3 linked regions of the Oreochromis niloticus genome follow. The protein of the gene in region 2 binds, or shares a complex with, the protein of the main gene of each other region. Links are inferred from orthologs where the notes say so. Each region holds a gene or a part of one and is shown on either strand. Other genes may lie near its edges. The genes, in order: mbip, dr1 and yeats2.

Region 1 (6,985 bases), on a different chromosome or scaffold from region 2:
GTAAAACACTTGTTGAACAGTTTGAAAATTTATTATTGCACAAGACTTGTGGGAGCAAACAAAGAATGACTGATAACAGCAGATAAACCAAATAATAGATCACTGTATAAATAAAGGCTTACTATAAGTAAAAAATTCAGTGCCAATAAAAGGTATCATTTAATTTCTCAGTTAAATATAATGTATAATGTTATATACAAGACAAAAATAATTTGAGCCTTACAATAACTTCCTGTCTCTCACCTGCTGGAAGTTTGAGGTGAGCCTCGATGTTGTTGAGTCGTTCCTCTATGGCTACATTTCCACAATCTCTCATCAGCGGCCCCCTCTGTTTATCCCCAGCCTCTGCTTGGTCTCCCCCACTACGGGTCTGGGGTCCGTAAGTGTTTACTACTCGTGTGACTGCCCAGCCAAGAAACAAACACAGAAGATACAACTCAGTCCTAAACAGATTCTAGTTAACAACATGTTTTAGTTTAATTACACAAATGATAGTTTAAAAATTAAGCTGTTAAGAATTGTGACATTTTCTTACCTTTTACGTGGCTTTTAAAACCCGGGTAAGGAGTGAATACTGCATCTGTTCTGGCACAGCTGTTTTCTACAGACGATCACATTTAATATAAATTGCAATTAGAATTACCAAATGCAATTAAACATGATTACCAAAAGCTGTATATGTATATCACACCTGAATAACAACTACTCCTGATTTCTGTTACTGGTGTCTCACACAGGCTTTGAATTTAAAAAAGGTTCTTCTGTCTCGTGTTTTTCTGGACTAAGCGGGTTGTGTTTTGAGGCCGAGTGTGTTAGCTACTTCAGCCCCACTCTTGGAGCAGTTCAGCCTGACCTCTCGCCTGTGGAAATCAGCTCTCTCCCAAACATTGGCAATCTGTGTGCAGGCACCCTCTCCACCCTGCCCCCCCACCTCTCTCCCATTCTCACCCTGATTGCAGTCGATCACGTTGCAAAACTCGCGTACATTGTTTTCATTGATCTCCATCTGCTTGCGTTCCATAAATGCAGATATTCTTCGCTCAATCTAGGGTTACAATGAAGACAACATAATAAGATACAATGGATTGATGAGGTGGCAAGAATGCTATGTTTTTGACTATTTAATGATAATGATGTGGGACAAATAGGGTGCGGCAATTTACATTTCAGAAAATTCCAGGTAGCCAAAAAAGTTGAACTGCTTGCCATCATCACATGATGGAATATGAATACTGTTTGCTTGGCTACCAAAATAAATGCACAACAGAATGGGGCCTCTTGTCCTTCATCCACATGCAATCTCAGAGTAATGAGCATCCACTTCATAATCCATCAAGGACCTGGCCCTCTCTCAAAACCCTCCAGCAATGTGGTCTGTTCTACCCCACCGCAGCACTAAAGGACCCCTTATTCTCAACCGAACTCAGCTTATCAGGTCTCCATCAAGCATTTGCTTTGCTGCGGCACGTCATGTGCACATCCTCTGGAGCAATTACTTATGATTATTCATTTGCTTGACAGAGTGTAAAGAGGGCTCTAAAATTTCACTGCCAGAACAGCTGACAGATCTGCTGACAGCGACCAACCTCTGACTTCCCAGCTCGGATCTGAACCATGACGTCATCAGCCGCCGCCTTGCTCTCTGTAGCCCCGGAGCTGTGCGGATGGTGCTCAGACTGCGTGGCTGTCTGTGCGCTGCTTGAAGATGAGGTGACAGCATCTTCTGATGTGTTCTTGAAAGAGGATGCATCAGCCTCAGCATCCAACAACACCTTTAGGCTTTCTGAAACAGCCTAAATAAAGAGCACGTCAGAAAGAAGAATTAGATGTAATTATTTAAAGCTCCCAAGAATAATCGAAAATTCAAAATTTTAAATTGTTAATTCTAATCTACTTTTTTTCCCTTGCAATGATAACACAATAAAAAGCTGCATAATAATCTATGTCAGCTCTTAAAATTCCTCTAATGTTTTTACCTGTAATTTAGCGATATGTCCTTGTAATGAGCTGTAAACATGAGCAGGTGGAGATGATTGAAGATTCACAGCGCTGGGGTTGACATCTATTTTCAAAGCAGCATCCCCAAATTTCAGCTTAATTTCAGGACAGACAAAGTGTGGATGTTACTGTGAATCAGCATTTAACATACAATTGCATGCTAGCAGGACAATATATACATTTGTCTAATATATGCAAGTTACAATTGATTGATGTGAAAATACATAAATTATTTTTGATAATTAACTGGGCAACTGATTTGTTACTGTTCAAGAAAAAGCATTTGGTGGTATCAGCTTCAATTTAATGTAGAATAAAGGATTATTTTCCCCTTGTTTTCAGCTGTTTTTTGTCACTGTAAAATATATATATTGGCTTTGCAGTGGTGGTCAATAAATACATAATTAAAAATAAGGTTACCCCAGACTTAGGAAAATAATGAAGTTAGATTCATAAAGCGAGTGAAAGGCGATGCTTTTATTTTATCCACTGCATATTTTATTTGTGCTTTACCACACAAAAACAGGGCTTGAGATCATTTACTGCATGTATGGGATAAAGAGGTTTATTTAGATGTGTATTCAATCCAATACGAGATGCAAAAAAAAAGCACGGCAACAGGGATAATGACATGAAACTTTGCTGTTACTGATGAAACAGAATGCCTAGTTAAGCCCAGTCAAGACACAAGCTCGATCTTATATCTTAAATTACTTTCAAAACAACACTGAACCATTTAAAGCACAGTTACTTTGCAACAACCTGCTTGTCAAAAACAGCACCAGAGCGCTGTGTGAGTGACAATGAATGAACAGTGTGGGTCCGCTAAGCAGCCCTGCTAACACCACATTGCTAAAAACATTAGCATGCAGCCAGCCAACACCCCGGACTGAAAGGAGCGATGTCCGAAACAAGGCAGCTTAAACAATCCAAACAAACCTCTTCCCCGAAGTCTGCTAGCAGTTGCAGTAACGAATCCATACAGTCTGTATAGCTGGACATTTTACTGGAGTCACTGGGAGGAGCATGATTTCTACTTAGCTTCATTGCCTCCGCCATTGCTGTTCGACAAGCCGAAGAATACTGTGCGCTGATTGGTTCGAGTGCAGGTTCCTGCGTGTGCGCGCTTAACGAAGTCGAGGCTCCATACACGCATGCGTACACGCACACAACCGTAGTTGTGAGAATATTAATATTACTGCGAAAATTACTAGTAATGATAAATGCTTAAATTAAATTCACTAATTTTACTGGGTTGTATTGTGCAAGTATTTCTGAAAGCTTTAAGGCATTTCTCTTTTTCAGTCTTTTAACAGATTGAAAGGAAAATTGTTTACATAATTTTTAAAGTCAAGGATCAACTTTTTAAAAACTGCAATTACAAATACATTCTAAAAATATAACAGGACGTCAGGGGAACAGAAAGCTCATATATATATATATATATATATATATATATATATATATATATATATATATATATAGATATATAGATATATATATATATAGATATATATATATATATATATAGATATATATAAGTATATATAAGTTTTCTGTAGATATAGATATTAGATACTTGATACTTGATATGATCAGACTCCATGTTAGCAAATCGAAAAAGAACCCAAATAGAGAAGCACAAAAAACAAATAAAGTTATAAAATGTGAAATTTAAAAATCTTTCAACTGTTCTTCGACACAGGGTGGTTAAGAGCATCTATATATAGAAAAACTGATTATATAAAACTTTGAAAAACCTGTTTTACAGCTTTATTTCCAAACATATCATGCACATTTCATCTTTTACCCAACTATTTCTACTTCTCTTCAATCTGTTCCCATAAAATCCAAACCAAATATGCTTATTAATGACTATCATCAACTATAATAGCCCTCTTCATGCATTAGTGACCCTGTGGTTTTATACAGTAATCTATTAGCAGTCAAGCAACATTTTATTATTGCCTCTAGTCAAGTTATTAAGCTAATGTTTTAACGTCATACACTGGTAGACAGTTCTACGAACAATGAAATATTATTTTAATATTAACAAAATAATTTTATGACTTGTATTCTCTACCTGAAAACAAGCCTGTAAGTAGTGCCACGTCTGGAACATATTATTAAATGCCCAAAGATGTCCAGTCTCTGAACTTTCTCTTTTAATGCCTTTTAAAGCATGTTTAAAGTCATTTTATTCTCTGTCGTCTTATGGCATGTTTATCTGTTTAGCAGCATAACTGCTGAATATTGTTCTAATTTAATTTTTACTTTATGTTTAGAATGTCAATGCTTGTATATTTATATGATCCACAATTTTATTACTTTTAGTTTAAAACATTGTACTATATAAAATTTTATATATATATATATATATGTATGTATGTATTAGGCATGGCTCCCTGGAAACTGAACTCACTCAAATGTGCCGTTAACTGTATTCTCAGTCACTTACTTTTCAAACAGGCGAAAGAATGGTCACTCAATTATAAAGATATTGTCCCTCTGACCGCAGTGGACTGTGCAGCAGGGCATTGGGATGGGAACCTGGTTACAATGGCGTATTTTTCTGTGTTGAGTGACTGTGGGAAAATCTCCCTCCTCTATTCAGACATTTTTCCCTTCTTTTCATATAATGAGGAGAGAGACTGATGAAGGAAACAACAGAAAAAGAACAATTACAGGCAAAGAGAAGGCACAACCACTCAGAACTCAATAATGCTCTTTAGGAGGGTTAATCATTTTAGGAAGGGGTCTGAAGACAAGCCTTTTTACTTTAATTCATCTCTGGGGTGATATTTTTCCCCCCAAAACAGGAAGGAACTGTAACACTTGACATGGTTTGACATGCTGAGCTATTGCTGAATGTTCCCACACAGCAAGGCGCTCAGAAATTAAAAAACTGCTCATTTAATTTGGCTGGCTTCAGACCAAAGAGCTGTTTATTCTTCTAACGGGGGAAGAGTTGTGATTTAAGGCATTTATATGAGCCATTAAAAAAACATGATAACCTACTTGAGCGCAATGTTTTTACATTTAGCTATATTTACATTTCGAAACCAAAACTAAGTATTACAGATATTCACAATCTTTAAATGTCACCTTTTCCTCTAATATGTTCCTACATCTTAAAAACAGTTTTAGAGGATTAAAAAACCAGTGGCTGAAGAAATATTTACAAGTGCTACAGCCTAAAAATATTCCTTTACAAGTAAAAGTTCATGCACAACGGCCTTAGTCATTGTTGGCAGGGTCATTATTACTGATGCATCAACATAAGTGGTACTTTATTTATCTAATTGGCTGAAAGTAAGGTACGGCAAACTGATTTAAATGCGCTAACTTGTTTCCAGAGAATGATTTGACCTCTGGTTTTTCTTGCTGTTATTAAATCATATTAATTGTAGATTCCTAACATAAAATGACAATTTATAACCATTTATTAAGTATTTATGCACTGCTTGTAAATGCTGAAGCCATTATAGAGAATTGCTGAAAAGTGTTACAAGGATACCTTAATGGTTCTTTGTGCAACTTAATAAGATTTTTTTTTCTTTGCTTTACAAGAATGTGTTCTTGGCAGGCAGAGGGAATTTGTGCTATACAGGAAATAAGGTGGTCCTAGTGTTAGAGGGAAGTGAGTGAAGAGGGATTGTTGCTGCCTCTTGCCTCAGTCACATCAGCCACCTGCAGGAAAGTAAAAAGGTCCGCTTTTGAGCCTGTCTGCTGCACGGTGGCAGATTATGTTGACAGAGCATGAGACGGAGTAAAGGCCAGACATGAGGATCAGGAGAAAGAGGCAGCACAATGTAAAGAGCGAAGTGGATTGCAGTAAGAAGGTTTTGTCTCATTTCCCCCAGAGAGGAATAATTAAAAGTATTCCTTTCTTGTGAGTTTGGGACCAAGCTTCCCACAGATCAGCTCATTACGTACTGCTTTTAAGTAATAAAAAGATATATGTGGAAACAAATGTAAATTTTGCAGAAAAATGTTCATTAAAAAGACTGTAGTCATGGTGCTGGATTTGAGAGTTATTTCAGTTGTTTTTTACAGATTTTTTCTGAACTGCTTTGGCACATTTCTTACAACACTTTTGGAATGATGCATGCAAAAATAAGCAGTATTTACATGTGCATGAACTGTAAGGGTAAAATGTTTATGTACTGTTGTCTTCTATATCCACTCATATAGTGGAAATCACTGGGCTGTCACTTTTGTCCACTTGGCCACAGATTCCCACTGAACTCCTAATCCTCCCTATGAAGTGTAACAGTGGAAGAACTGCTTTGTTTGGCAGACCCATCAACTGCAGTTCTCTTTCTATTTGCTGTTGTTTCTCCTTGTTACACTGCCACACATCCTCGCTTGTCTCCCTATACTAAGGCTGTTGTCCCAGAAAAAGGTTTATTTGGGCTCCTACTAGTTCATAAACTGTTGTAAATCTATATCTATATACAAGCATTTATACATATATAATTAGATGGACTTTTATATGTGATGGCTTATACAAAGAAATAAAGCTATTATATTTTGGAGAATAAAACTATTCAGTTGATAGAAACACTTTTTTTTTAACACAAATACATTTTTTTATTTTTTACACTAGACAACTAGTCATTAGACTGTGCTTTTAGGTGCTTAGGAGTCCTCCCACCATCCAAAGCTGTACTTGTTAATTGGTGTGGATGTAAGAGCGTGTGGTTGTCTGTCTCTCTGCTGAACCCTGTGATGGAGTGGTGACCTGCCGAGGATGTTCCCTGCCTCTATTCCCACTCACCCCAGGACCTTGAGTTGTGTGATACCAACACGTTCGGGCTGGTGATACAGTATCAATTATTGACAATAGTACCATGTTTATCGGGTTTAAGTTTATGATTAGCAACATAGTTTAGGATGTAAGTCAATTACCATTACTTAACTGGCAACAAAAATAGTAAATTAGTAAATTCAAAGTTTTTATTTGTATAGCACCTTTCAAGATAAA
Region 2 (7,433 bases):
CCTACACCTTAAAAAGAAAACAAAACACGAACTCTGGGCTGTTAGTCTATCTTTGGTTCTATCAGACAAAAATATTCAGTTTTTCAAAGGTGCAGCTAAGAACCAATACTGTGTGTAGTTCAAGGTAGAAAGGAAACAACATAACGTTTCTGAATAAGCTAAAACAAAAATGTATTTTTCATTATTTAATAGTACAATTTCAATATTCACGGCCCCTCAATCCTTCCACTGTCGAACAAATAACTCCACAGAGGGGTAAAGAAAACCCTTTTTGACAAAATGGCAAAGACCAAGAGAAGAGGAATTAGATGCTCTGGAGTCGTCAGGAGCGATTCGCCTACACCACTGATTGTTATCTAGCACTATGGTTGACATAAACAAGCTAGTTGGTGCAGTACCTGAAAGAGCAAACACCTGCTGCACCATCACCAAACTTCAGTGAAATGTGCCTTCAGTGCATCCACAGTACATCCAGAAATCTACAAATTACTCACAACATAACATCAAGACTTAATTAAACGGAAGTAACTTAAAAAAGGGGGGGGGGGGGGGCAGGGGGATAATCAAAATTTTATTAACAGCTTTTCAAACCAAACAAATTTCAGGTTCTGGTATCATCATGTTGACATTCCCCTCCAACTCCATCTCCACTGTCAATACCAAATGTGCATTTTCCTTGTGTCACTGATGTGCACCAGCGGTCAAACACATCTCAAGTCTCTGTCAACAACAGCACTGGGAGGTTTGCCCGCCAACACTGTCCCAGGAAGGGATTCGGACAAGCTGAACAGTATCCTGGGATCATATGTCATCCTCTTCGTCTTCATCCTGAGAGGAACCGGCCTGTTGGGCAGCAGTGGCAGATGCTGCCGCCATCTGTGCCTGCTGGGCGGCCTGCTGCATCTGCAACCATTCCTGCTGAGCGAGTTCTGCCTGCTGCTGTCGCGCCTTCACAAACACAAGAGAGACACGAGACAGGCGAAGGTGAATGAGGATTATATCAGGCAATTAGAGAAGCTCATGGTGGTTGATATCTGATGTTTAATTAGAACTTGAATATTTTAAGACATTTTCGTGGTATGTCATTATAAGCACTGAACATTGGAAAAAAAAATTAAAATAAAGTGTCTGCAACATATTACTATCGCTGAATTATACTTGCTTATACTTGTTTCTAGAAAGGGATTGAGTTAATAATTAGCAAAGTACTGCTGAAAGTTAACTAAATGGATCTGTCATGCATTAGTGAACAGTATAGTGCAAATAATGTGCCTCAAGTGGTTATGTGTAACAGCCACTCAGCACACAGATGATTTAAATCGGACATGGCTTTGTTGTATTTCTCTCTAAAGGCTTACTCATTTCCTAAGGAACTTAGCACAAAACAAAAGACCAATCGCAAAAGACCTACTTCATCAAAACTCAGATCCCTACATAATGTGAAGTTCTGGTCCAATAATTTTGTTTATTATAACATTTCTGAGCAATCATATTTGTGCTGGTTTGTTTAATTATTTTTAGAACACAGTTTGGCAGCAATAAATTCACATTTTCAATTCCACTGTTTTCGTGGGCTCTGAAAGCAGCACAAAATGATTTCCTCTAGTCATAACTTCAAAAACAGCTATGCTCAGTTCAGTGGCTGTTGGAAGCACCTGGACATTTTCTAACAGTTGCTTTTTATCATTTTATTATGTCTTTGCTGTTTTTTAAACTTAATTATTAAAAGGCCCCTCAGGGTTAGACTAAATGACCTGGTATGGAAGTTAGTTCCCTGAGCTACTGTTTCTTGTGACGCCTCTCTCAAAATCATACCTTTGCAAACAATTCCTGTTGTTGCCTAAGGAGCTCTTCTTCAGGGATGCCCAGGTTCTCCAGTCTCGAACTGGCCTTCCTCCTCTTCAGGGCAACAGTTTTACACTCCTGCAGCACGTCTTTCACCTCCGTGATGTACGATGCGAAACCGAGGCTCTCGAGCGCTGCGGTGCGAAAGCAAGAGGCGAAAGTGTTTTAATTACTCTCTGTGGTTTAAGGCTCATTACATGGTGCTGCACACATACACACACCTTTCAGGGTACAGGGAAAACAAAGCTGGACTCACCGTTGATGACATGCTCTGGGGAAATGGTTTTCTTGTCCGACTTGTTGCATATTTCATTGGCTTCTGAGGATATGAGGTGGATGAACTCTGTGCAGCAGTTAACTACAAGCTCCCTGGCATCGTTGGCCACCCGTACGTTGGGGAGAGTTTCTTTAATCATTTTGTTGATAGCTGCTCTCGGGATGGTGAGGTCATCGTCATTTCCAGAGGAAGAAGCCATCGTGGCAGACGACGGGACAGAAACCAGAAAAAAAAAGAAACAGCAACTCCGATTCTCGACGGAAGGAAACTGTTAGGAGGCCTTCTCGTGTCGGCAGAATTAAAATATAACGGTCAGGTCAAGACAACGTCAACACAGAGTTAAATGTCATGTAGGAGAGTGACGCTTCCTCCAAGTTAGCCGGCTAGCTTAGCTATTAGCTAATAGTTGAAACAATTTCCGCAGAGTAGAGCCTTTGTAAGGAATGTGGTAGAAAAGAAACCGTTAGAAAACGCTAAAGCACATACACCAAAAAAGAAGACAAAAGGTTAATACTGTGTGAAAAGTGCTTAGCTAGCTAGCAGCCAGGCTAGCTAGTAGCTGTGGTCCCTGTCGCCAGAAAGCCGCAACGCAAAAAACAAGTGAAAGCGGAGAGCATGGCTACCGCTAAGCTAACAATGAAGTGCCTCCCGCATGGCTAAACAGTTAGCTGCATAGACACAGAAACAGGACACACGTGCCACAACACTGCCTGTTGTTCTATCCTGCATCGAGAGATGATTCGGACATTTCAGATAAGCAGAAACATGGTATCGATTCTTTTATACGTTTGAAATGTGGGCAACATTAGCTTGATTCAGTCCGGATGCAACGTCAAACAAAGAGCCGGATACCATTCTTCTTCTTTGGTGTTTAAAGCCTGTCTGAATCCCCTCGAGTCGCATTGCTGTGGCCTTGTGGTAGTTGTCGTCCATTACTGCCCTTAAAACATATGCTTGGGGAATTAATACACATGCTGGAAAAACAAAACAAAACAAATAAACTGAATATGTACTTTCTTACATTATCTATATATTTTGATGGTAGCTACAGTAATATTTCGTATACAGTCAGAGGACCACATCCCATATGCACCTCGCCTCCAAAATATAAAAGATGAGGCCAATCCATAGATGATTGTGTGAGTTTTATATCCAGGTATGTTTTTACTACATTATCTTTAAAATATGAAGCTGTTGCCAATCAGGTGCTTTCCAGATGGTATTGTGTGGAAGATCAAAATCCGACTCTAATTCTATCAATTTTGAAGAAATCCTGTACACCACTGGCTGAAAGGCAAACTCAAATCATGACAGAGTCTTCACTATAGTTTACAGATTACTCTAGACACTCATGGTTGTACCTATCTCCTGAATTTCACTTTTTTTGTTTGTTTTTCATATTCACCACTCCATAAGACCTGTTTCCACTGATCTTCAGTCCAGTTCAGCCATTTCTCCCTGTTTCCATAGTTCCAGTGAAACCTTTTCTAATGAAGCTTCTGTTCATGGATCAACTGATAGTCTTTGCTGGATTTTTTTGGACGGTATTACTTAAGGACATGACTTCCAGAGACTTTTCATCTGCTGTACACAGTTTTTCAGACCTTCCACTTCTTCTTTTGTCCTCCACTTGTCCAGTTTTATCACCAAAAAAAACTGCACACAGTGCCGCAATATGCCAGGTTTTCGCCCAATAGTTCACTGGGAATCACATTGTTGGTGCAACAACACTATTTTATGTCTGTCAAATTGTGTTATCTTTGGTATTTTCTGTAGATTCAGCTAAAGAAATGGAAACAAATTATGTGCTTTGGCGACAGGCTGCTAGTAACAAAGTGCCTAAAGACACAGTTTAGAATGGGTTCTTTGCTAAGCTGTCTGTTATGTGTTTACACAACACTGGTTCGTGTAGTGAACCAGTATCTTTGTACAGTACTGTATGTTACCCTCCTATGGTAAACATAATTATCAAGAGCATCTCTTTTAACCCTGTGATCTCCTCCCCGGAAGGGTACGTCTGATAACATGTCTACTAATGCTTTTTTATGTATATTTTCTCAGCACAAGCACAGATCTTGCTGAAACAAATTCGAGCCACAGTAATTTATGGCCCTGTTTCTGCAATTTTATTTTTAGACTTATCAATATTCAGCAGCATCCAGACTGGTTTCACAGGTGTTTGAATTTCCTAATAATTGTTTACTGCCATCTAGTGTCCACCAAGAGAATACCAGCTTTTATTTTGTTATTTTCTTTTTATATTCTAACATGCTTAATTTTCTGACCAAATCCTGTCAATATCATACAAAAAATAAATACATAAAAGTTTTCTCACATTAAAGTCCACGTGGTGCGAGACTCAGAATTCAACGGCTATATTCCAGATTAAGCCATGAGTAATTATGTTATGTAATCCAGCAGCTTAAGATAAGATAAGATAACCTTTATTAGTCACACACGTGGGAAATTTGTTAAGATTATGTAAGATATACATAATCTTCTGACACTGTAACAGAACCCATTAACAAAACAATGCTTTTAAAAAGACAAAAAAAGTTCATAAATTAGTCGTTATAACTCCGAACTACCTGATTTACTTTGATTTAATCTTGCTGTTCGTATAACTTTGCTTGCTTCCCATATGACACAAGGCTCAAGGGCTTGTCAACTTAAGACAGTTATGCTACTTGAATGCACCAGGGTGTGGTTTAAACCTGCAGGAGCTTACTGCCACGTATGAAAAGAGACTGCATTGTCATGGCATTTCATAGCTTTATTTATTTCAGGGAGGTAACACTGCTAGACAATAACAGCCAAATATGCCCATGTCACAAAAATAACAAAGATATGACATGATTCAGTTGCTCTTCTCTAACTTAAAACTCTTTCGGCTTCTCCAGTGCAAAAGCTTGATGAAGTTCAGGCTGGCAGTGAAGACCTTGTCGTGTTCAAACACCATTTTGTAAAACGTTTCAATCGGGAGGTCACCATTTGGGTCAGCGTACTTGAGTGTGGTCATAGGGGTATAGAGAGTGTTTGTCTGGTGCCGGAAAGGGGGATTGTCCATGATGATGATCTTGAGGGTGTGCTACGAAGAAAGATCATTCATAATATAGTTTATTGCTCTTGTAGTGCATTAAAGGTTAAAGGTGAAGTATTTGCTGAACGATACCTCTGCCACGTCCTCAGGAGTCTGTCCGAGGGTTTCAAAGATCTGTTTGTAGTTCTTTAAGTAGACATTTGTGAACATGTCAGCAGTCACTTTGTCTGCTTTGCTGAGATCAATCTTTAGGCCCTCGTCATAAACCTTACGCTCAAACTCGGTTATCACTGGACCTGGCTCTATCAGGCTGATGCTGAGGAAGAAATAGAAGAGAAGAACATTAAAAAACATGGAAAAATCTCTTGAAATAGGAAACTTGAGTTCAGTGCACAACTGTGAAAGGTAATTAAATATTACTTTCATTATACAGGAAACTTTAGAAACCACACTAAAATTCAGTTACCATTTGATACTGTGTTAGAACATGCCTAAACATCACAGTGTGCTGTGGTTTGCATATTTTCCTCCTAATGGTGCAGAAAGGGGTAGGTGTTGTTGTGCAATATGACTACACAAATATACCAGATGCAAGGGCTGGTTTTCAGGTAGTTTAGTTTTTGTTGCACTTTTTTTCTCACAAAAATGCCAGTAAAAGATGAACAGGAATAAAACATTATAGACTTAGTATCTTACTTCAGACCAAACCTCAGGGCTTGTATCGCTAGGCTTTCACAAAAGCCTTCCAATGCAAACTTAGATGCTGCGTAGATATCGTTGAATAAAATCCCTGAAACAGGGAAAGAAGTTGTGAAGCAACTGTCTTAAAAAATGTTCTCGTGATCAGCAGGTGAAGCAGCTCTTACCCTGAATCCCCATGACGCTGCTAATGACCACAATATGACCTTTTTTCCTTCTCTTCATGTCGGGCAGGATTTCCTTTAGTAATCGCACAAGTCCAAAGAAGTTGGTGTCCATGACACTTTTCATCTCTTCAATAGACTGACACTCAATGGGTCCAATCAGACCCATCCCAGCATTACTTACTGTGAAATAAGGTCACATACACACATATCATTTAAATTTCCATAGACAGTCGAAAAGCCAAATTAATACTGTTTTGAAGCAAATGGTAGGAGCTTACTGAGAATGTCTACCCTGCGCTCAGGCAGACTGTCCACGCAGGCTTTGATGGAAGCCTCGTCACATACGTCCAGCTGCTTGATCTCCAAGGTCCGGCCCAGGGTCCGACCTGCTGCCTCAACCAGAGGCTCAGCCTTACTCAGATTTCTCATGGTGGCATAGACTACAACAACAAAAACTCGTCTGAAGCTGTTGTGTTTTTATTGAATTCAGAACTGAAATTAAAATTTTACATTACATTTGAGAAACTATCACAATTTATCTCCACCAGGAGCGGCAAATGTGGATTTTTCTCAGATTTCATCTTTCAGGTGTTGCCTGTTACATCAGTACGACATGGTTAATAGTTACTCAGGGTAATCCACAGACCAGGAGGACCATTTCTTCCATAAAACACGTTTAAGATAAAAACTGTTGATGGTGAGCTGTGTGGATTGTTTCTGGAACCAGAGTTTTAAAAAAAGAACTTACCAATATTTTGTTTGTAGAAGAAACCCATTACATATTGATAATGTAAATAATGTGAATTTGATCAAGTAAATATCTTTCTAGTGAATGGTTTCAAAATGGTATTACATTTACACAGTTAACTTTAATGAATAGTCTGCAAAGTGTTCATAGTAGAAATTATTGAGCCAGACACAGCAGCCATGTAAAGTTCAAGTAAAGTTCAAGTACATGTGAGATGGTAATATTTTAAAACATCCTACACACTTCCAAAAAATTCAAAAAGAAAAACACCATTATGTTTTACACCCTTATGTGCTAGTTTTTTTTTCCACATATTTCCTCTAATTTCTGTCATTTGAAGCATTTTCAATCACAATTTGAATACATTATATTTTTCTTTGATTCCCTTTGATCCCTCCTGACACAGGGTTTTGAAATGTAGTCAACAACCCCAGCTATCTTAGAAAAAGTCTGTTAAAAAGTTACCCATGAACCTCTTCTTCTCATCTTTTGCAATATGGACAGCCAATGCGAGGCCAATCCCAGAGGAGCAGCCGGTGATGAGTACCACCTTCTGGTTCATCGTGCCTGGTTAGTGCTTTTCTTGCAGCTCCAGCAGTAGAGAATAAAACGAGAACAAAAGAGGAGAGGCAGCAGGCCACATACGGGCACTTTTAA
Region 3 (7,600 bases), on a different chromosome or scaffold from region 2:
CTCTAATCTGAAAAGTCTGTTACAATGTAATTAGTCACCAAAGAAATAACATAAAAGAGAAATAACAATTTAACATAAGCCAGGGCCTGATCAACCCTGGCAGGGCCTCCTTGGATGAGGGTGTCTAGTGATAATGGCCGAAACACCCGATGAATCCAAGGTCCACTACTGACGATGTGTCCCAAATTTTTAATATGATAATCTAGATCAGATCTCTAATCCCTAAACCTAACCAAGGAAGGAAAAATGGCAGATTAGCCTGGGTAAAAGACCGAAACACCCTGTAAAGTTGAGGCACACAACAATGTGTCTAGCTGGTAAAATTTCTGGGCTGCCTTTCCTCGTAACAGCCATCCCTCAAGACTTTCTCCATTTGAACCAATGCATTATCAGGGATTGTAAGATCTAGTTCTTTTACTGAATCAGTCACAAAGAAATGACAGACATTTTTTAATTTGGTTACGTACTTGGATACATTTCCCACTACGATTGTCTTCTTCGCATAAAGTCTAGATGCATCGTCTCCAGTAGTGTGGTAGGTCACTCTCTGCTCTGCAGACGACGGCACACCGAATGTGTCCTACAGCAACAAAGGCAACGCTTTTAGTCACCGATCATCAAAAGGTCAAAAAACCCACAATTTCTGCCAGCTGAACTTACTTTGCCTGTGTTGCGTCCGGGTCTGCGCTCCTGCCTGCTGCTCTCCTCTCTCCAGGCTCCTTCTCCATTCCTCTCAGCACCGTCTCCTTGCTGTGAGAGAGACTCAGACTCTGATTGGACCAACGATGGAGTCTCGGAGCCCTGGTTGAGAGGGGAAGAAGAACGGGAAGGAGACTCCAGGAAGCGTCGGATGGCCGGATGGTTCAGCACAGCAGGGTCGCTCTTGGAGGTATGCTATGGAACATAGAAGAAATTTAGGTCAGTGTTTCTATACTGTACTACCACATAGAGCAGCAGACAGCTGGCTATTACTGTCTGCAATAACACCACTATAAAGTTTTATGCCATTTGTTTATGATCCATAGTGCATGGCACAATGAGACCAGTCGGGATATGTTCCTGTTAAGGAGCCAATTTAGTACCTAAAAAGGGATCTATTTCAACAACCTTGAACAAAAGGACAATATTTTTCAAAACATGCAAGGAAACTGTTCCAGCTGAAGGTGGAAGCTACAAATGTGTTTCACCACTTGAAGCAAATAAACACCATAAAGTACAACCAGGCTACACAGGAGGAGATACTAAGAGCTGCTGATGTGCAACCTAAATGTCAACAAAAGACTCCACCAAGCATCACTGATTCACACGCTAGATGCACTCCAGATGACAGGAAAAGCAAACAGGGGGGGATTAGATAAAAATGTGGATGCATCAGTACAAACACAGTGATTTAAGCAACTGGTGAAAAAGCTCTACATAAGAAACAACATCCCAGGTGGAAAAGAATATTAAGATTTACATAGTTAAGTTAGTTTAACAACTGTTCAGTTAAAGTGTTATTTTATATTTTTTACTTCCCAGGGGAAACAATAGCTAGGGCTACTGTTGTGTGTACATTTGACTTGCTGTGTACCGCTACTATTGCACTACAATGCTGATGCCGGCAACCTGTTTCACAAGATAAATACTTTAAATTACTAAGATTGCCAACAATGACTGCAGCTCATTAGAATAGCATAATACAAAATACCTTTAACTCACTACACCTATAAATGCTGCAACCTGCAAACATCAATAAAATGTTGTTTGGTATATTTTTTCCTGCGCTGTCAGAAATATTTTTCTTGCAAATTTTCTTCAAATATCATCATATAATTTTGAGGCTGTATCATCAAACTCTGTGTCCAAATGAATGGGAATTTACCTCTGAGAGCTTTGTCAGTCCAGCACTGGCATAGTAATTAGCTACTATGCATGCCCTGAGCTTGTCCATCATCCTCCTGGCTTCATTAAGACGCTGCAAAGCAAAGAAAAACAGTGAGCCGGCATGCTGAATATTACACTTAACTCCAAGTTATTGTCCATGTTAAGTTTTTATGCAGTAACAAGTAAAATACAGATTTAAAAGAAAGTATCATCTGAATACCTGACTTATCACATCTATCTCATGCTCTTTGTTCTTCATCTCCAAAGAAAATTGCTCCTTGATGATGGTTTCAATCTTCTGAACTGTTGCTTCTCGAGCTGGATAAAATAGGGAAGAGGGAATGAACATATCTACAAGACCAGGGCACAACTGATAGCTAATTTTGACCACAACAAGCAAAGCAAGTGTACTGGCTCAGGGTTCAGAGCATGAACTTACCACTATGTTCAGCCGCCTTGTTTCTCTTACTGTTTTGGACCAGAGAAACGTCCTCATAGTCGGGATCATTGCCCTCTATCTTCCTTTTAATTCCCGACATGGCTTCCTGTAAAGAAGGCTATAATTAGAAAACGTGTAGCTAATCACTTATATGCTGTGATGTACATGATTTGCTATGCACTTAGCACAGAATTAGCTGCATAGCAGGGAAGCTATAGATAATTGACAGCAATGCCCACAGCTAACCTCAGTACTGATTAGCCAAACAGGTATGCCAACATGAGTTAGCAGGCTGTCCACTACCTACCAAGCTATTTCAAACTGTCGACCAATTGTCTAAGATTCATTTAACAAGAATGCACATCGCATTTTAGTGTGTCTCACCACCGATATGATAAATAAATATACACATACCGTCCATACAGCCAACAGTTCTCTGACGTTAGCAACCGCTAACCTTGCTAATTTAGCTAACGTTAGCACACAGTTGTACATACATACCGGTTCAGGCTGTACAAAATGCAAATTTTCAGGAGTACTCTGTGATGTGGAGCAACGTTTCTTTGAAAGGCGTGTGTTTTTTTAATTCAACGTGAGCATATCCGTTGCGTTTTTAGTATACTCAGACCACACTCGTGTTTAGGGAATTGCTAAATCTCGAGCTCTACAAGTAAGCTAACTAAATAGTGGATAGTTAGCCTTGCAGTTTAGCCAAACAGCCACAAGGGACCGCTGTTCTACCAAGTTGATTGAAAACGAGGCGTGGAATGATAGGTATTGTCACCTTTCAGAAGATTGCTTCCCTGGAAAGGATGTTTTATTGTCGTGATCAACAGCGTAACCCGTCTTACAAGCCCTTAGTAAACTAACTACTCTGACAAGATATTCATAAACAGCGGTGAAGATGGCATGCATACCTGTCAAACTTCATTACAACCAGCCATCATGGTCTATTCTAAAGAACTTTACGGGGATTTTACTCCAGTGTTATCACTGCAGGAAGTTTTTTTTGTGTCTGATTCAGTGGAACTCTTTGGAGGTATTACATTACATTACAGAGTTGAGTAACCCCGTGTATGAGCATGCGATATTCTAACTATCATAGGTTACTATTAGTCTAACATGTTTAAGCTTGTAACCGCTGACAGGCTGCATGCCACGAATTAGAAGGCAAACAACACCAGACAAGAAGGGGATCAGTTCATCTTATTTAGCTTAAGCGGAGCTTCACACTTCATCAGACATCAGTTACACAGTAAACATGTGATTCTAAAGGCAATTAAACAGAAAACAGGTGTTGCTAGAAAGCCACTCCAAACAAACCTTTTCTATAACTTCTACACCTATGGGCACCTTTTCAGTGTTACACATTACTTTGCTGCTCTCTTGCAATGAATTGTCCTATCACGTTCACATTTCCTTTTAATGAAGCAGAGAAGAAGATCAAACAACATCCTGTTAAATTTCCTGTGGATCCGAAGTAAATACAGCGCCAGTATTGTCGATACCAACATGAAATTCGATACTGATACTTTAACCTCATGATTTAACCGCCATCAGTTGATCAATTTACATATTCTAAGTACATTAATCAAAACAACAAAACACTCCTTTCAGCTTTTCATGTATTTTGAAATGGGGATTTTTGGAGACCTGGACTTTTTTTTAAAATTATTATTAGTCCTTTATTGATCCAGGTCAAAATCTCACTTGAGATTAAAAATCTCATTTCCAAGAGAGACCTGGAGATGTGCACATGTGAGTGTGTAAATGTGCCTCTAGTTGCAGTATTTTCCAGTCAAGTTTTAATTAATATGGATGTCTCTTTAGCTCAGTGGGTGAGCAGGTGGGCTGAGAGCTGCAGCACTACTCCAACCTCTGGCCCTTTCCTGCCAGGGCCAAGAACCTAGCATTTTACTCAAACCAGATCAGGCCTGCAGCTGTACCACAGAGTTGGCATCCTCAGTAATTTATAGTAGCTGGCACTCAGCTGGATAACTGAGGTGACAGCATGCTGTCAGTGCCAAAAATCTTATAATCACAGCTGATTAATGTACTGTATAGCATTATCCTGTCTGAGAATGCATGTCCCTGATGAGCTCTTTGCATAAATCAGAACACAGATGTATGGGTAAGGCATGGCTTCAATTTTTCCCATAATGTTTGGTGTAAATGTAGCGAGATGGTAAGAATCTGTGAGAGGATTCTTTGTGGTTTTCATTAAACCAAAGCATAATATGGAGAATATAAATCACATGAGACTTAAATAAAAAGGGCCTGATAATAAAGCATGGGTTGCTCAATCCTACTTTAAAAAGTGCGGCTGCTTTTAAACACTGTCCCCTTGTTCAGCACAATGACTCATTAAAACATCACCAGCGTGATTGACTCATCCCTTGGTGAATACAGTGTCCACAGCTCTGTGGAGCAGATTGCTACAACTTGCAACAAAACCCAAATGGCGCATCTCTTCTTTTGTGACATCTTCATGGATATTTGTGGGACAATAGTTGTGGTTTCGATGAAATACATAAATCACTTTGTTTCCATTCGTTTTATGGCTGGTCTGTTGTGAAAACGGATGTGCTCACGATCGCTTGATTGAGAAAAAGCACAACTTCTCGGGGCACATTTATCGCATGCGTCACACTGACCACAAGAATCGCTTTTCATCTCAGCCTTCTGATTTCTGTAAAACTGAGTGAAAACTTTATATTTTGTTTGAGAAGGGAACATAAAAATCAGGATATCTTCTCTTGGAGGAGTTACCTCCACTGCTGGCATGAAGACGATCCTCAATGTAATGAACATGTTTGACAATTTACTTAGTGGCCACTTTGTCAGTTACACCTGTTCAGCTGCTCATTACCTAATGCAAATATCTAATCAGCCTAACATGGCAGCAATTCAATGCGTTTTGCCATGAATGAGCTGCTGAAGTTCAAGAAAGGAATAAGTATTTCAGAAACCGCTGATCTACTGAGATTTCCCCACACAGTCATCTCTGGTGTTTACAGAGAAAGGTCCAAAAAACAGAAAATATCCAGTGAGCGGCAGCTCTCTGAGCAAAAAGGCCTCGTCGATGTCAGAGGACAATGGCCATAAACCTTGAAGATGACGGGAAGGCAACAATAACTCAAATCATCACCTGTTAACAATCACAGGCTGCAGAAGAGCATCTCTGAATGCACAACACGCCCTATCTGGAAGTAGATGGGCTACAGCAGCAGAAGACCGCACCAGGTGACACTCCTGTCAGCTAAGAGCGAGACACTGAGGCTATCACAGCAGGAATTTGCATTAATGAGCATCTGAACAGGTGCATCACTGTTTTCTTGTAGACTTTCATTTGTTAACAATGATGAGTCACAGCAAAGCTTTGATACATTAAGAAAAACTTTATTGACGTTTCTCATAAACAACTCAACCATTACAATTCAACATACTGCATTTTACAAAAATTGAAAGCTTTTTTTTAAAAAACAAAGAGCACAAGAAAAGTGTTGTAAAAGTATCACACATCATGCACACAATAATAGCAGTGTATATCACAATTATCTGATGTAATTGCTCACTCGTTAATCTCTGGTTAAGGCACATAGGGCAGCACTTAAGGGGTTACATCTCTTGACATCAAGGCAAGGCACAGGTGGTGCTTTTCCAACAAGACTGACTTCAGGATTGTCTCAAATGTGGCTCTTATCTGTGTTAATATTTAACTCTGGTGAGCAACTTGTAACCCTCAGGTTTTTTGGGTGTAATCTGCTGCACGTCCTTTTTATGTTCTCAGCAACACGCGATCCCACAACTCACCACAACAAGCAAAAGATTTAAAAACAAAACAAAACAGTACACACACAAAAAAACAAAACGATGGATATTCTTATCAGAAGTCAATAATACATGAAAGACATTAATGAAAATCAATAAATCAGCACAACATGAGTTTGTGCCCTACTTAAGAGTAAATACTCAGTGAAATCACAGACGCACACACACTCAGATTCTCACTTTCTCACTCCCATGCTTCTGCCTTTCCGCTTTCCTGCCCCCCAACTCAACCCGTCGCTCCTCCTGACTTCTGCAAGCAGGTGAATCAGGAGGTGCTTCATTTTTCCACCTGTACTGCTCCTTAACCTGACCTCCATTTGGAGGAATGTGAAGAATGTTTATGTAAAAAAACCAACAACTTCCCCCTACATATTTTTGTTATCATACCTGACAGGTGAAGTATGACCTGAGCTGTTCTTAAAGGATATTACGTAATGGTGCTGAGTGACAAATTCAAAAATCCCTAAAATTTGAAAACTGAAACTGTTATGACGACACTGCCTCCTTTGCAGCAATATTTGCTGGTTTTTTCAGCGCATCAAAGCGTAGGAGGCAGTGGCCAACAGGAGGAGCTGACAGGCCCTTTTCACTCTCTTTTCTATACGTCACATGAAAGCAAAGAACATTTACTGATACAGTAAAAAAGGAAATCATTGTCATAAAGTTCTACATTTAACAGGATTCTGTCAAAGTGCACAATTGGGGCTCTCAAGAGAACATATTATGCAAATAAGGATACAAAGATACATTTAAATACAAGTTAAAGAAAACAAAGTTAACTGTATATTCACAGCAATCTATCAACACCAATTGTATTAAAAGGTGACTTTTACTGACCAAGAGCCACACCATCCAAAATCCTCATCATTCAACTCTTAAACCCGCCAACGGTGTGAGGGCCAGCACTGCCGCACCCGCCACCTTAGCTGACCATTCAACACACATACACGCATACACACCTGGAGGTATCTATGGTTACCCCGAGTTACATCTTTACATGTAAGTGTACAGGTGAGATGTGGCAGCATTGCACGACAACTCTGTGATAAACCTGCGTGGCTCCCAAAGCATCCAGACCAAGCAGTAAAAGTCACACAATATCCTTACACACACACAGACACACACACACACACACACACACACAGACACACACACACACACCAGACATGCACACCATTTATTCAGAGCAGTCTACAAGTTTGATCCACAAAAGGCTTCACATCCACAAAACCACCCCACAAGCCCAGTACACCGATGGATTAACGTCGACCTAACTACTTATCATACAATAAACATCCAATTATAAAAAAATAGGCACGGATAAATATAACTTACCAAAAAAAGGCAATAATGAGTGAAATAATAATAATTAAAAAGGAGCAAAATATACAGCTTAGAAGGCATTAGCAAGGCTGACTGTAAAAAGTGAGGTGATGACACAGGTGGAGCGCAGGAAGAGAAACA

Evidence for each region.
Region 1: dr1 (region 2) and mbip share a complex: the UniProt entries of both Homo sapiens proteins name them as parts of the ADA2A-containing complex. The link is inferred for Oreochromis niloticus from reciprocal best matches to the Homo sapiens genes DR1 and MBIP.
Region 3: dr1 (region 2) and yeats2 share a complex: the UniProt entries of both Homo sapiens proteins name them as parts of the ADA2A-containing complex. The link is inferred for Oreochromis niloticus from reciprocal best matches to the Homo sapiens genes DR1 and YEATS2.

Annotation. Positions count from the first base shown.
Region 1 is NC_031983.2:18,731,577-18,738,561, forward strand, and holds the start of mbip (MAP3K12-binding inhibitory protein 1), read right to left. Parts: upstream 3,111-6,985; 5' UTR 3,058-3,110; coding exon 2,938-3,057; intron 2,094-2,937; coding exon 1,977-2,093; intron 1,794-1,976; coding exon 1,587-1,793; intron 1,046-1,586; coding exon 949-1,045; intron 602-948; coding exon 536-601; intron 403-535; coding exon 244-402; intron 1-243. UniProt on the Homo sapiens protein: Inhibits the MAP3K12 activity to induce the activation of the JNK/SAPK pathway. Component of the ATAC complex, a complex with histone acetyltransferase activity on histones H3 and H4.
Region 2 is NC_031986.2:31,177,636-31,185,068, forward strand, and holds the start of dr1 (protein Dr1), read right to left. Parts: upstream 3,012-7,433; 5' UTR 2,322-3,011; coding exon 2,102-2,321; intron 1,980-2,101; coding exon 1,816-1,979; intron 949-1,815; coding exon 802-948; 3' UTR 1-801. Other genes in the region: zgc:109982 (retinol dehydrogenase 8), read right to left, coding at 4,980-5,210, 5,295-5,478, 5,859-5,952, 6,029-6,208, 6,307-6,468, 7,242-7,338. UniProt on the Homo sapiens protein: The association of the DR1/DRAP1 heterodimer with TBP results in a functional repression of both activated and basal transcription of class II genes.
Region 3 is NC_031982.2:14,309,281-14,316,880, forward strand, and holds the start of yeats2 (YEATS domain-containing protein 2), read right to left. Parts: upstream 3,025-7,600; 5' UTR 2,807-3,024; intron 2,740-2,806; exon of another isoform or gene 2,720-2,739; intron 2,412-2,719; 5' UTR 2,406-2,411; coding exon 2,306-2,405; intron 2,185-2,305; coding exon 2,087-2,184; intron 1,958-2,086; coding exon 1,865-1,957; intron 895-1,864; coding exon 661-894; intron 581-660; coding exon 468-580; intron 1-467. UniProt on the Homo sapiens protein: Chromatin reader component of the ATAC complex, a complex with histone acetyltransferase activity on histones H3 and H4. YEATS2 specifically recognizes and binds histone H3 crotonylated at 'Lys-27' (H3K27cr).